Linked DNA regions of Lytechinus pictus. The protein of the gene in region 2 purifies or fractionates together with the protein of the main gene of each other region. This does not show direct contact. Links are inferred from orthologs where the notes say so. Each region holds a gene or a part of one and is shown on either strand. Other genes may lie near its edges.

Region 1 (7,350 bases), on a different chromosome or scaffold from region 2:
GCAAATTGCAAAAGAGAAAACAGAAATAAACTGGATTTGGGGCATGCATAATCTAGGTTTTAGGATTCAAAGAGGAAGAAAGGAAAAACCATTGTTTTGTACAGCTATCTGAGTTTGCTATGCACTATTTATTTACTTTACCATTATCTCTACACAGAGATTTAAAAAAAGTCCACACAACCTGCGAACAATACAATTCATTTATTCACTTTCAATCATTTCATTTTTACAACGATAGAAACAATTATCAACTAGCAAAGTAAAATAACAGCAAGCAAGGTTTACATACAAGATGTATAAAGTGAAAGTAACTTAGTGGTAGTGGCTGCAGAATTAATATTTCAGAAGTTTGTTTTATTCATTTTTAATGTTTTTCTTTATATTTTTCGGGCCACCAAACTTTAATATCGGGCCACCAAAAAAAATTATTTGATGGTTTTGGTGGCCCGAACGGGCCACCACCAAAAAAAGTTAATGTGGAGCCTTGAAATAGGAGTAATGCCGAAAATTTGTTAACAAATTATAATTTCCTCCTATAAAAGCCTCTTAATTTATTTTGACTTGATAGGGGCCTATACCTGATGGAAATTGCTTCATTCAATATAAAATCATAACGGATAGAACGCCTTGAATACAGGCCAAACAGCCTAACGACATTGCCGTGTCACGTGACAACCAGTATTAAACCAGAATGTGCACAACCCTATGGCGACAAAATTTGCCGCAAAAGTTGAGCAAGTTCTGGACAAAAAGGCTTCAATACCCCAAGAAAAGACCAGGCGAGTACTATTTATACATTTTTTTCAATTTAGTAATATCTAGAGTCTAATTTAAGAATAGATTTCGTCATGGAGCTCCATGGTAAGATCTAGTAATTTAAGTCCAACATTTAATTCGCGTGCACTCATTTTTTTAACACAGGAATTAATAGCCTTGGTGCTTAGAGTGAAGAAAAGACCAGGCGAGTACTATTTATACATTATTTTCCATAAGTAGTATCTAGGGTCTAATTTAAAAATAGATTTCGTCATAGAGCTCCATGGTAATATCTAGTAATTTAAGTCCAACTTCTGATTCGCGTGCACTCACTATTTTAACACAGGAATTGATAGGCATGGTGCCTAGTCTAGAGTGGGTGTGAGGAATTTACCGTACTAGCATGACTAGGGCCTACATAAATCTAGACAGCTGGCAGCCGTCTGTTTCGAGGAGTTTTTTAACATTTTTTTATTTTTTTTATTTCTCCTCATACACAGACGGCTCGCTAGCGTGTAACCCAGAGAGCTCCCGCCCGCGCAGCGGGCGGGAGCCCAGAAGCTTACCGGCCTAGAAGCTTACCGGCTCAGAAGCTTACCGGCTCAGAAGCTTAGAAGCTTACCGGCTCTCTGGGTTAGCTTAGCCAGGCGGCTTCTAGAGAGTAAAAATCATTTACTAACGTAAGGTCACTCTCATGAAGCCAGGGCTTCCGTCATATACTTTTGTGTGTACCACCAAAAAACTCGGCCATTTTGTTACGATTTTTAACAAAAATGGCCGATCGAGACGGGGTAGAAGGAGAGAACTTTTCGTTTTTTTTAGGTTCCAGACTGTGCCCAGATGTCAGGAATCTGCCACTCGTTAGACCTTCATCCATATAATCGTGGTAATTGTATACTTTCTGTTTTCACAATTCATTTGGAGAAATATTTAGACCGTAAATCACCCTAGTCCGGTGACAATGGTAAAATACACGGTAAGCTTCTGGGCTCCCGCCCGCTGCGCGGGCGGGAGCTCTCTGGGTTAGCTTAGCCAGGCGGCTTCTAGAGAGTAAAAATCATTTACTAACGTAAGGTCACTCTCATGAAGCCAGGGCTTCCGTCATATACTTTTGTGTGTACCACCAAAAAACCTGAAACTTTCGCCCCCGAGATTTCTACTTTTATTTCTAAAAGATCTAGCCCTAAATCATGTACATGGGATAAAACTTCATTTCCGACATTTCTACGCTCTCGTTGTTATTTTTGAACAAGAATTCATCAAAAAAATGAGAGAAATATTGTGTCACGCGTCTGTAACGTTGGCGAAGAACAATAGGAAACAAGATGGCGGCGTAAACATTGGGCAAGTCTCTTCCGTCTTTACACAATATTTCTCTCATTTTTTTGATGAATTCTTGTTCAAAAATAAAAACGAGAGCGTAGAAATGTCGGAAATGAAGTTTTATCCCATGTACATGATTTAGGGCTAGATCTTTTAGAAAGAAAGTAGAAATCTCGGGGGCGAAAGTTTCAGGTTTTTTGGTGGTACACACAAAAGTATATGACGGAAGCCCTGGCTTCATGAGAGTGACCTTACGTTAGTAAATGATTTTTACTCTCTAGAAGCCGCCTGGCTAGGTTAGCTAGCGTGCAGCCACCATTAGGGGACTTGCAATGCAAAATCCCCCCGTCTGGGCTCTTCAATTCTTGTCTTTAAATATGAATAAAGTTTTTGAAAATTAACGCGACCAAAATGCAAATTAATATTCCCTCTTGGCATTAATTGCCAAAAAACTGAGAAAAATCAAGTTAAAAGGAACAAAAACAGACTTACCTCAGCTGTCGCGTAAATTCACTTCCCCGTTTTATCCAATCTTAAGTACATAAACATATGGCCATTGAGTCCCCTGTACAGATCGCGCTAGAACTTCGGTCTCTGTATTTGGTGAGTGAAGCCAACGGAGTTCAGCTGAACAACCAACATATTAACAATAACAGAGACCGAAGCTTTTGGTCTAACATAAATCATAATACAAGGTATTCAATGTATGGGACTGTGATTTTTCATTTTCATGAAAAGCAACGGTGACATAATTGCGCTTATTTTGCGGGAAATAGTCGTGAACATTCAAAATATAAATATTTCAAGAAGAAGATTTACACTCACAAAACCCTGATGAACTGTATGGCTGTGACATCTTTAAATCGATTTAGACAAGCTAAAAAATCTCAGTTGGATTCCTGGGTTGATTTACAATCCGAACTTCAAGATCCGTGTTTCACGCATGCCAGGCTAGCTGAAGCCAGCGCCAGCGCACAAACCCAGCTGCGCACAGCTACAGTACAGACACTGGGGCCCGTTTCTCAACACCGTCATAAGTCTAACTTCTTGACTAAATCGGAGATAGTGAGCTACTTGTCCGCTAACCGTTTCACGAAGCCCTCTTTACCAAGATCGGGTACAACAACCTCACTAAATATTTATGACACCTCCGAACCTGTCATAACTTCTTTCTTAATGACGTAGTGGCATCACGTGGGTAGACTATGACATGCAAAAGCGCATATAAATTTTAAAATTATAATCTTACGTAATCAATCATAGAGGTTGAAATTACATCACAAAACAAGTGGGTTAATGCATTCAATGATAATTGTAATACAAAGAAACTATAAAAACTATTGGTAAAACGCCACAAAACCATTCATTTTGAAATAGTAAAATGATTTAATCGATAAATATTCTACCACGTCAGGCCATCCATAACTGAACTCGTATTTGTTGTTTTCAGACCCCTATTAACAGTTGGATAAATTCTAATCTCTAATTTATGCATATAATTTGTCAAATATCGTATGTTTCGGTATCAATGGTTAAAAATGTTTCGTTAAACTATATTTTGATGACGTTCGGAATCGTAAAAGACCGCATAATTATCATCATTTTACAAAGAAAACCGTTATGGTTTACTTTCGTAAACTATTAAAATTGGATATCCCGGGGGTACCCAATCTCAACGTCCACAAGTGATTTTTTAGTCATGAAATGAATTATTCATAATTTAATTTTCTCTGCAATTGAATGCTCAAGTCTTCATGGTCTAAGTATGTATGATGCATAATTCACCTGTGCTATTATTTTGAAAAGATTTATTTCCCAATTTATCACAATATTTGCAATTTTGTAATAATTTTTCTTTTTTAATATTATGCTATTTTGTGACTAAGGCTACGTCTCGTCTGCTCGTTCTACCGATAGTATCGATATCAAGGTATTCTAGTTAGGAAACCTTTCGAGAAACATGTTTAGTAAGATTGGAACTAACTCCGTGGTTGGTGGATAAAGATATGACTAACTTGTCCATGTGTTGAGAAATGGGCCCTAGTTAATTAACAATTCGTTGATTGAAGCAAGCCAGCCATAGAGATGTATACTAATAACGCTAGAGGGCGTACTTCGTCAAATCAAGACATAAAAAGGTGATTTTGATTAGCGGCGAATTTATTACCAGACCAAAGTGGAATTGTTGGAATACACGTACATAATATAGCACGCCATAATAGCAGACGCCGTATTTTCGTCAATGCACCCCCTCCTTTCGGGGCATCGTAGACACCGTCCCCCTTTTCTGTGCACCAATGTTCACCCCTAGATCGATGATGTGATTAATAAAAATCAATTTGGTTGATTATCAAGACATAAAAAGGTGATTTCGATTAGCGGCGAATTTATTACCAGACTAAAGTGGAATTGTTGGGATACACGGATATAATACATAGCACGCGCTATATTTTCGTCCATGCACCCCCTACCTTTCGGGGAATCGTAGACCCCGTCTCTCTTTTCTGTGCACCAATGTTCACCCCTAAATCGATGAAGTGATTAATAAAGATCAATTTGGGTGATTTTTAAGACATAAAATGGTGATTTCGATTAGCGGCGAATTTATTACCAGACCAAAGTGGAATTGTTGGAATATACACGGACATATAGCACGCCATAATAGCAGGCGCCGTATTTTCGTCAATATTAATGCACCCCCACCTTTCGGGCCATCGTAGACCCCGTCCCCCTTTTCTATGCACCACTGTTCCCCTTAAATCGATGAAATGATTAATTAAGATCAATTTGGTTGATTTTCAAGACATAAAAAGGTGATTTCGATTAGCGGCGAATTTAACCAAAGTGGAATTGTTGGAATATGAGTAGCCTCAAGTTAAAGCATTTTAACACAAGTAATATTTTTAACATGATTATATATGATTTTGGGCAATACTGAAAGAATAACATATCCGTGTTATTTTTCACTATGTTAAGAGCGGATTGTATGAAATGGTACCTTTCTTAACACGAAATAACAAATAATTAGGAGTGAAACGAAGGAAACTTTCCGTATAAAATGTAATTCTTCACAGTCAGTGCTTGATCTCTAATTCCCTTAATTCTTTCTTCCTTTGTATGCATTTATCTTTGCATCCCTTTCCTTATATTATGCATTGATATACGTTGTTTTTGTTGATATTGTTTTACTATTTGTTTTTATACTGCCATTTTACTCCGCATGTGCAAATCTATCTTATTCAGCTTTAATTGGCTGCGAATTGAACGTTATCATGGTAAATACCGTTCATCTATCTATCTTTACCGTACTTTTATATAATATACATGTACAGTTATTTTCATTCATGTTATACCAATTTCATATGTCTCGCTTGGAAATAAATGCTATATGATAGTGGATATCTTCTATCCTCATTCTCTATCTCTTCCCTCTCTCCCCTTTTTATCTTTTGTTCCTCGCTTTCCTTCTCTCTCTCAAATGTCTAAAATAGATTATATTTTACTTCATCATGCATCCTGCATCTTTTATCTTGCCATAACTCTTCCAATCATATATATTCAAACATATTAAGTTTTCTTGGTTGATTTTACATCTTATTTAAGTATTTTTTTTTACAAAAACCTGAATATAATTCGAATTAATCCGAACGTTGTATTTTGTGTGCATTTCTACATGTAAGTCTATACAATTATTCATGATTACGTAAATATTGTCTGTGTCTCCATGTTTGTTGATATCACTGATGGATCTTAAAAGGGGGATCGAGAACATCCGGCCGGTTCCATTTTTGAGAAGTATAATGAAAACTTGTGCACTCACCTTAAAAGACAGAGTATATAATGTTTAAATGGTAAGGACCTGTTTTTTCGCTGTTGAATTTTCAGGAAGATGTGACAAAATCCTGGATCTGCCACATGGCCACTTGAAGCAATGTTGAAATATAAACTGCAAATCACCAGTTTTATCGCCAAGAATAAAGCATCTTAAAAAAGAGTTGAATGTGTCTAAAAACTTGAAAATAAAATCCGGCGAAGCAAAGTACGCCCCACTTATTTGACCTCACTTTCGGGGTATCTTAAAGGACAATTAGTCCACCCCAATAAAAAGTTGATTTGAAAACAGGAAAATCCTATTGAACATATAACACTGAAATTTTGATCAAAATCGGATGTAAAAGAAGAAAGCTATGAAATTTTAAAGTTTTGCTTATTTTCACATAATAGTTATATGCACATCCCGGTCGGTGTGCAATTGAGAGAACTGATGACATCACTCACTTTTTCTTTTGTATTTAATTATAAGAAATATGAAATAATCTAATTTTCTCCTCATTGTCCTGTGAAACAAAGTTTCATTTCTCACTGAACATGTGGAATTACCACTGTTTAACATTATATGTTTCAGTCGAGTTGGTCCTTATTATTGTCAAATCTGTAAAAATTGAAATATTGCATAATTCAAACAAAAACAAAAAACAAAAGAAATAGTGAGTGAGGGACATCATCGATTCTCTCATTAGCATGTGACTAATTTGTACTATTTTGTATAAAATAAGCGAAAATTTAAAATGTCATAACTTTCTCATTTTACATCCGGTTTAGATGAAAATTTTCAGCATTATGCTTGTCTGATTTTTCTCTTTTGATTCAAATCAACATTTTATTGAGGTGGACTTGACCTTTAAACCCATCCCTCTTTTCTATAAATCACTGTTCACCCCTATATAAGATGCAGAGATTAATAAAGTTCAAGTTTGTTGAGTTTAAAAGAGATATAAAGTTTATTTCGATTTTTGGCGAATTGAATACGATTCCAGGCCTACAGAAATTAAACTAATCGGATATGTCAATATACACTGCCTTCAGTTTACGGGCTTCCTACACACCGTCTCCCTTTTTGGTGCATTATTTTTCAACCTTAAATCGCCAAATGAATGGATAAAGATATATCATAAATTATGGAGTCACAAGAGATATGGGCTGATTTTGATTTTTGGCGAATTTATTACGAGCCCATACGAAGTTAACTAATCGGATTATAACGTATGTCGATGCACGCCCAATGTTTCGGGGCATCTTAGACCCCGTTCTCCTTTTCTGTCCACCAAAGTTCACCCCTAGATCGATTAAATAATTAATAAAGATCAATTTGGTTGATCTTCATGACATAAAAAGGTGATTTCGATTAGCGGCGAATTTATTACCAGACCAAAGTGGAATTGTTGGAATACACGTACATAACACATAGCACGCGATACATATTCGTCGATG
Region 2 (7,589 bases):
TGAGCGTCTTTGGAGGATGTGCCCTTAATGAAATATTATTATTACAAAGAGAGAAGAAACTACATGTAAGCATTAAAAAATAATCAGTGCAGCTTTTATCTGCTTAACTGATGTATGAAATGAGTGGACGTCTGAGAATATTTCATGATGCACCTATCATCAAGTTTCACTGATAACTGTTTACACTTTTGAAATCCTGGCATCTTGAGCAGTTTGCAGACTTTGCAAAGCCTTGGTTGACAAAATGTGCTATAGTGTTTAAAAGACTACATAGATGGGGATCGTGTACATGTACTATAGCTTCTGCAAACTTAGAGTGACACAGATGCTCAATTAAAAATAATAATTAACTAGTAATGGTCATAATTGAATATTCTTGCCCCACATTATGCATCAATTTGTTTTTGATTTATCTCTTTCTGTTATGATTTCTAAAATTTTGCTAGATCTTCCTGAAGATCTACTTGTTGATAGAAGCATTAATCAGTGTGTCTGGACCTGCACTTCTGGGGACTGTTTCATAAAACAATTAGTCTAGGATTTACACTGAAAAATGATACAAGCTACTGAAATCACTGTATCTGATTGGCTTTGAATACACCTACTGTACAAGTAAAAACAAAATAAAAGACAAAATGAAAGACTTCGCTGATAACTCATTAAAACAAAATGGCTCTTTACTCACATATTCAAACCTGTCCTTGGAAAGTTGGGCAAAACCATGAAGGAAAGCTAGAATAGCGAACCATCCAACCCAGAGAACCAACTCCTCTAGAGTCTGAACATTGAGTACACCAAACACCACAATGAGCTTGTAGAAAGAGAAGTTCCACAACTTGTCTCGAAGATGCTAGAAAGAAATATGCAAGGTACAACATTATAAAAGGACAATAGATAATGTTGAAAACAATAAAGGGCACATATTTGGTAAACAAGAAATAGATTTGACGCTAGTGAACAACCATGACCAGTACTTACTCATTCAATTTTCTCAGGTATGTCCCAGGAATGACCAAGATATTTCCAAGAGCCAACCTTACTATCAACCCTTTCATCCACTTTGAATTTATCAATCAATCAATCATGGCAAACTAGTCCTGTCCCATTTCATAAAACTTTTTATAATTACAAATATGCAATAACAGTAATATACGTAAGCTATTGAAATCATTAAATTTGATTGGTTGATGGTAAACTTGTTAGTCTTTATGAAATGGGAAACAGTGCCCCATTGCAGAAAAGCTATCAATCATTATGGTAACTATGCCATCCAGTGGTAACTTGCATGGAATCCTTGATTGGCTGTTGATCAGTGTTACCATGGTAGTTACCATTGGATGGCACAGTTATCAAAATAGAAACTTTTATGCAACAGGGCCCAGATCAAACAAAATCATTTTGATGGTATCTTATGATGTGCAGTGCTTAGTACTTATTAAAAAGCCTGATATAATCCCAAAACTGACCATTACCGTAATTGAAATTTGGGCTACACAGGGATGGCACAAACATGTAAATGTAGGCTTGATAAACAAAGTCTGAACATCATCCAGAATAGTCCAGGATAGAAGGGGTCGAACCTTGTTTTTTTATATATACAATGTTTTTTTATGGTTTCTTGTCAATTAGAGGGTGCTGATTCCGAATCTGAATGATGCCACTCGTGTAACCTTGAGCATTTTCTGCAAATTGGCAAAATCCAATATGGCCGCTAAAATATCCAAATTACCCATGAAAATCATAAAATTGTCCACACATTGGCTATAAAGTACATGCAATTGTGCTGCCGGAGTGAAATAATATCTGAAAAAATTATTTTTGTCAAAATATTTATTTTCTTGATATCAAAATGGCCGCCATCATAGACCCCTGTACAACATGAATGGGGAAAATTAATTTTTACAAACTTGAGCAATGAAAATGCAAGTAATTATAATCTATGAGTGAAGCAATGTCTGAAAACATGATTGCTAACGATATATATCATTTTTTATGTCAGTTATGTGATAAATCCTGTATTTTGATATTCAAAATGGCCTCCAAAAGCCCTAACACTATTATGTACAATGTGAATGGTGACAAAAAAATCACAAGAGTGAGCACTAAAATGCATTTTGTTAAGATAAACGAGTGGAATACTGACTAAAAACATTATTAACGAAATTTATTATTTAACATGCCATGTATGTGATAAACCCTGTATATTGATATTTAATATGGCCGCCAAAGGCCCTAGAATTATGATCTACGATGTGAGAGAGGACAAAAACAATCACAATGTGAGCACTAAAACGCATTTTTTTGTGGTAAATTAGTGGGATACTGTCTTCAAATATAATTTGCAACGAAATATATTATTAAGGGTATCATATTTGTGTTAAATATTGCATTTTCACTTTCAAAATGGCCACCAAAAGACATTGACTGTATTATGTACAATCGATCTGGGAAACCAATTTTCACAGGAGTCAGCACCATAACATGCATATAATTGTGATTTAAGAGTAAAATATTGTCTGAAAACATAATTTTTAACAAGATATATCATTCATTCTGCCAGGTAGGTGATAAATAATGTATTTTGAAAGTCAAAATGGCCGCTACAGGCCCTAACGGTAGGCCTATTATGTACTTTGTGAATGGGAACATATAATTTTAACAGAATTTGGCTTTGCTTGACTAAAATGGTGTTGCATGTATGGATGAAATATTGTCTGAAAATACGATTTCTAACCAAATAGATAATTTCTTATGTTATTTAGGTGATAAATGCTATATTTAAAATTCAAAATGGCTGCAATATGTTTTTTTTGTGTGGAAATTATCTTTCCCCATTCAAATTTTACATATTAAGATAAGGGACTATCGGGCGGCCATTTTTCATTTTTAAAAGGCAGCATTCATCACCTTTATGACACAAGCTATGATATATTTCGTTAGAAATCATTGGGTTTAGACAATACTTAACACTTTTATCAAAATTAAGCCATTTTCGTAGTAAAAATTCTGTCAAAATTAGCTGTCCCCAGTTACAATGTACATACTACTTTTGGCTATTGCATCAATTTTGAATTTTAAAGTAAGGCCTTTATTACCTTCTTAACCATTATGTGATGTATTTAGTCAGAAATCATGTTCAAGACCAAATTTTACCTATACATCACATAGTTACGTGCGTTTTTTGTTCTCATTCTGGTGATTATTAGTTTCCCTATACGCATGTTACAGAATTTATAATGGCTTGTGCGGCCGTTTTGAAAGTCAAAATACAGTATTTATCACCTATATGGGAGAGGAAATGTTATATTTAATAAAAAAAAAATCAAGTTTTCATACAATATTTTCCTTATACAACAGAATTATATGGATTTCATAGTCAGGCAAATCCTAATTCTTCCAAAAGTATTTGTCCCCATTTATTTACATTGTAGATAATACTGTAAGGGCCCATAGGGGCCATTTTGAATTTTACAATACAGCATTTATCTCATACATGAAAAAGGAAATGATATGTTTCGCTAGAAAACATGTTTTGAGACAATATTTCACTCGTAGATTACAATTACATTCATTTTACTGTTTTTAATCTTGTGAAAATTAGTTTCTTCATTCGCTTTGTTCATAATACAGATAGGGCCTATGGCAGCCATTTTGAATGTAAAAATGCAGCATAATTACCGAAATTGCAAGGGAAATGATATGTTTCGTTAGAAATCCTTGTTGTCAGAAAGTGTTTCACCAATATTTCGCAGTTATTGGCATTTTAAAGTCAAACAAATTCAAAGGTTGTGAAAATTATTTGTCCCCTTTTATAATGGGTCTATGACAGTCATTTTGAATATCATAATACAGCATTAATCACATTAGATAGTATACAAATGACATAGTTTTGTTAAAAGTCATGTTTTCAGACAGTAGTCCACTCGCAGGTCACAATCACATGCAATAATAGTGCTCATGTTAAAAAAAAAAATTCCCCATTCATATTCTACATAATAAGGTATACAGGGGTTATGGCGGCCATTTTGAATATCAATAAAATAAATATTTTATCAAATATCGCTTTTACAACGGGTATTTCACTTCTGCACAACAACTACATGCATTTTATAGCTAATGTGTGGGCAATTCTATGATTTTCATGGGTAATTTGCATTTTTTGGCGGCCATATTGGATTTTGCCAATTTGCGGAAAATGCTCAAGGTTACAAGAGTGGCATCATTCATATTCGGAATCAGCACCCTCGAATTGACAAGAAACCATAAAAAAACATTGTATATCTAAAAAAACAAGGTTCGACCCTGTCATGACATGTTGAAGTATATGTGTATTTTTAAATTGTGCGCTTGCGCGTGTCCTTGTACGTAGACTAGTTAGAACAACACGATCGAGTTCGTAAAATCACAGCAGTTTGCTTCATTCAATTGATCACAAGATTTCCTTAGTTTTCACGCTTTATGCTATGCAAGGTATGTTGAGATTTGCTCAAAAACTTTTGTAGATTTAATGAGAATGTGTAGTTTATTAATATCTTTGTATTCCTCTTTTAAATACCTTGTTGAAGAGATTTAGGTTTAGATTATACTTTGAAAATCCATCACACTTTCCAACGAAGGACCTTGCGTATCTTGAATACACGCAGAAGTTCTCTGCGGTCGATATCTTCAAAATGTTGTCTTGTGACACGCAATTCTTAAGATGTACTCATGATTATGACTCTACGAATTTAGAGTATTTTCTTAAATCCAAGTTTATAGGATTTATTGTTGTTTAACATATTTACAAGCCAGTTTAGTTATGCACTATTTTTCCTACTCATTTGATGTGGTATGGTCACAAACTTACGTGCGAGTTGGCTCGCGGATTGATATTTCCAGGAATTTTGGTGTGATCCGCCGCCCGGAGTTTACACGTGTTATAGCAGGGTTTCATGACGTTATTGTTTATCTTTCAGTAGTGATAGTTAATGTTGTCTTACAGTTAATTCTTGTTACTTAGAACTGATGTCTTTAAAATTACATTGCTTACACAAAATTCGTGAAATAATAATTCAATCACCACTAATATTGATAATTGTTTTTCAAGTGAATTTTATTGATTCAGAAGGGAAACAAAACAATAGGAATTTTCTGTTACAGTTTTAGAGATTTAACTGATTAAATCTATACCTTGTTATTTTGAAGACAAATATATTTTTCACAGATGTTTGTTGCTAGATAATTATGATATCTTATCATATAGGGTAGATTTGTTGGAATTGGGAAACAATGATATTAAGACTGAATTAGGAAAGTTTCATTAATTCTCTCTTATTACTTTCAGTTAAATTCTACCTTTGACAGCAAAATGGTTAAAGGGCATGATTGATTATTCCTTATGTCTTTAATGAATATTTTGGGAAAGAATGATGATACATGTACAGAAATGCTTTCTTTACTAAGATATGTTTATCCTTTATTGTTTATTTACAGGAATCTCACACAGTTGTTGAATAACTGAACACTACAATGTTATTAGACATAATCTAATAAATGGGAGCATATAGTTCACAGACGCCTTCCTTGTAGTTCATTGCAACAACGTGTCAGAACTTACGAATTCGTGACATCTTCAACAACTATAGTGTATATCAACCTGCTTCAACTTACATCATGGCTGACGTCAACAAGTTGAAGCTATCAAGACGAAACATCAAGGGTCAGTTGACGCGAACATTATCGACAATTGACAGCCTTACAACAGATGCCGTTGGTGATCTAGACATGTTAAAGAAATACATCACTAAAGCTGAGCAACAATTTGAGAAAGTGGAAGAGAAACATTCGGCGCTGATGGATATCATCGAAGATCAGAGAGAGTATGAGGTGGAGGAGAAATGGATGGGAGAATGTGAAAATGAGTACGTCCAGGTGTTAATACGGGGAAGGAGGGTCGTCGACCGTCAGTCTCAATCTCCCCTGGACAATCAACAGTTTCTCCCCTCTTCACCTACAATTCCACATCCAAGATCCAGTCCAGCTTCATATGCGCCATCTCCTATGCCCCACACCGCTACGTCGGCTGCTCCAAGAATGGCAAGAATGAGATTCCCAACTTTCAATGGGAACCTTCGAGACTACAAGCGTTTCAAAGAATTGTTCACCCACTGTGCAACAGAGTTAACAGAGATGGAATGCTTCCATCAACTGACCGAATCAATGATTAATGTCAAAGAACGCGACAAAATCAAAGGGTGCATTAGTGTTGAACGAGCCTGGCAAGTACTTGATGAGTGTTACGGCGATCAGGACAAAGTAGTAGACAGCCTACTAAAAGATCTAGAGAACCTGAGGACATACGAGATCAAAGGCAAAACAAACCTCCCCGCCATGGGTCATTTTGTCCAGACTCTTCAAAACTTCGAAACCCAAGCTGAGACCATTGGCCTATCTGGAGAGCTTAACAGTAAGATCATGTTGAGTCAGATTAAGCAGAAGCTCCCAGAGGAACACCGCATCGCATATTATAAAGGTGTTAGAGATGACAGGATTGATGATTCCCTCACCGGTCTGGTCAAGTGGTTATACAGCCAACTTTTGCTGCTCGAGAAGGCGAAGCCTAACAGTGGGGACAATTCGCCTAGCCCTCCACAAAGACAACATAAGGTGTATAAGTCTACAAGCGCTGCTTCATATACTTCTGATAACCAGAGCCAACCAAGCAAGGCCAGACACTCCGGGGTCGCCAAGTGTGCCATCCACCCCAATGCAGACTCGCACTACTTGAAGACTTGCAACAAGTTCAAGAGCCTGCCACAGAATGAGAAATATAAAGTAATGAGAAAGAATGGTATCTGTTACCGATGTGGGCATAACAACTGTGTTGCTGGCAAGCCTCCACATGACCAAAACTCTTGTCAGTTTGTTGCTCCATGCAGAGTCCAAACGTGTGGCAGTGACTCACACTTCGCAGCTGTCTGCCCTGTCATATACGGAGAGAGTGGTCAAGGTCCTGCAAACCAAACACGCAACACTATGGAATCTCCACGTTCAACCTCAATCAACGTGACAACAGCCCACACCAACGAGACAGGGAAGCTTCAAAGCACTTTACCTACTGTTGTTGGTTATCTACGATGTGGCGATGTCCGGCACCTGGTGCGCATCCTGTTGGATGGTGGTAGCCAAGCTACACTGTTAAGGGAAGGGATTCTTCCAAGGACAGAGAGAGGCCTTTTCCAGGACCATGATCTGAGTCTTGTTGGTGGCAGCAAGATAACAAGGAAATTGAGACTGTTGGACTGCTACATTGAAGATATTGCAGGGAATTGGTCATGTCCTTTAACCATGACAGAGATAAATCAACCCTGCGGTGATACTCCTATTGTACTACCAGAACAGCTTCGGCAGTATGAGCATCTGAGCGCCATTGATATCCATGCTGCCCCATCCGAAACCATCGACGTACTCCTTGGTGTGGACAACACACACTTGATGATCTGGGAAGAATACATCCTTGGCGAAAAGTTTGATGATCCTGTCGCTGTAAGATGCCCCTTTGGCTGGTTTGTTCAAGGAGGACGGTCTACAAATTCAACTTCACTGCTGAA

Evidence for each region. The genes of interacting proteins can lie anywhere in the genome.
Region 1: the proteins of E3 ubiquitin-protein ligase AMFR-like (region 2) and ubiquitin-associated domain-containing protein 2-like purify together in Homo sapiens (affinity purification with western blotting; 4 studies listed by BioGRID and IntAct, with this or other methods). This does not show direct contact. The link is inferred for Lytechinus pictus from reciprocal best matches to the Homo sapiens genes AMFR and UBAC2.

The regions. Positions count from the first base shown.
Region 1 is NC_087260.1:29,144,818-29,152,167, reverse strand, and holds the start of ubiquitin-associated domain-containing protein 2-like, read right to left. Parts: upstream 3,025-7,350; 5' UTR 2,936-3,024; coding exon 2,899-2,935; intron 1-2,898. UniProt on the Homo sapiens protein: Restricts trafficking of FAF2 from the endoplasmic reticulum to lipid droplets.
Region 2 is NC_087246.1:24,896,056-24,903,644, reverse strand, and holds the start of E3 ubiquitin-protein ligase AMFR-like, read right to left. Parts: upstream 3,108-7,589; coding exon 3,096-3,107; intron 851-3,095; coding exon 686-850; intron 1-685. Other genes in the region: uncharacterized protein LOC135157617, read left to right, coding at 5,653-7,589. UniProt on the Homo sapiens protein: E3 ubiquitin-protein ligase that mediates the polyubiquitination of lysine and cysteine residues on target proteins, such as CD3D, CYP3A4, CFTR, INSIG1, SOAT2/ACAT2 and APOB for proteasomal degradation.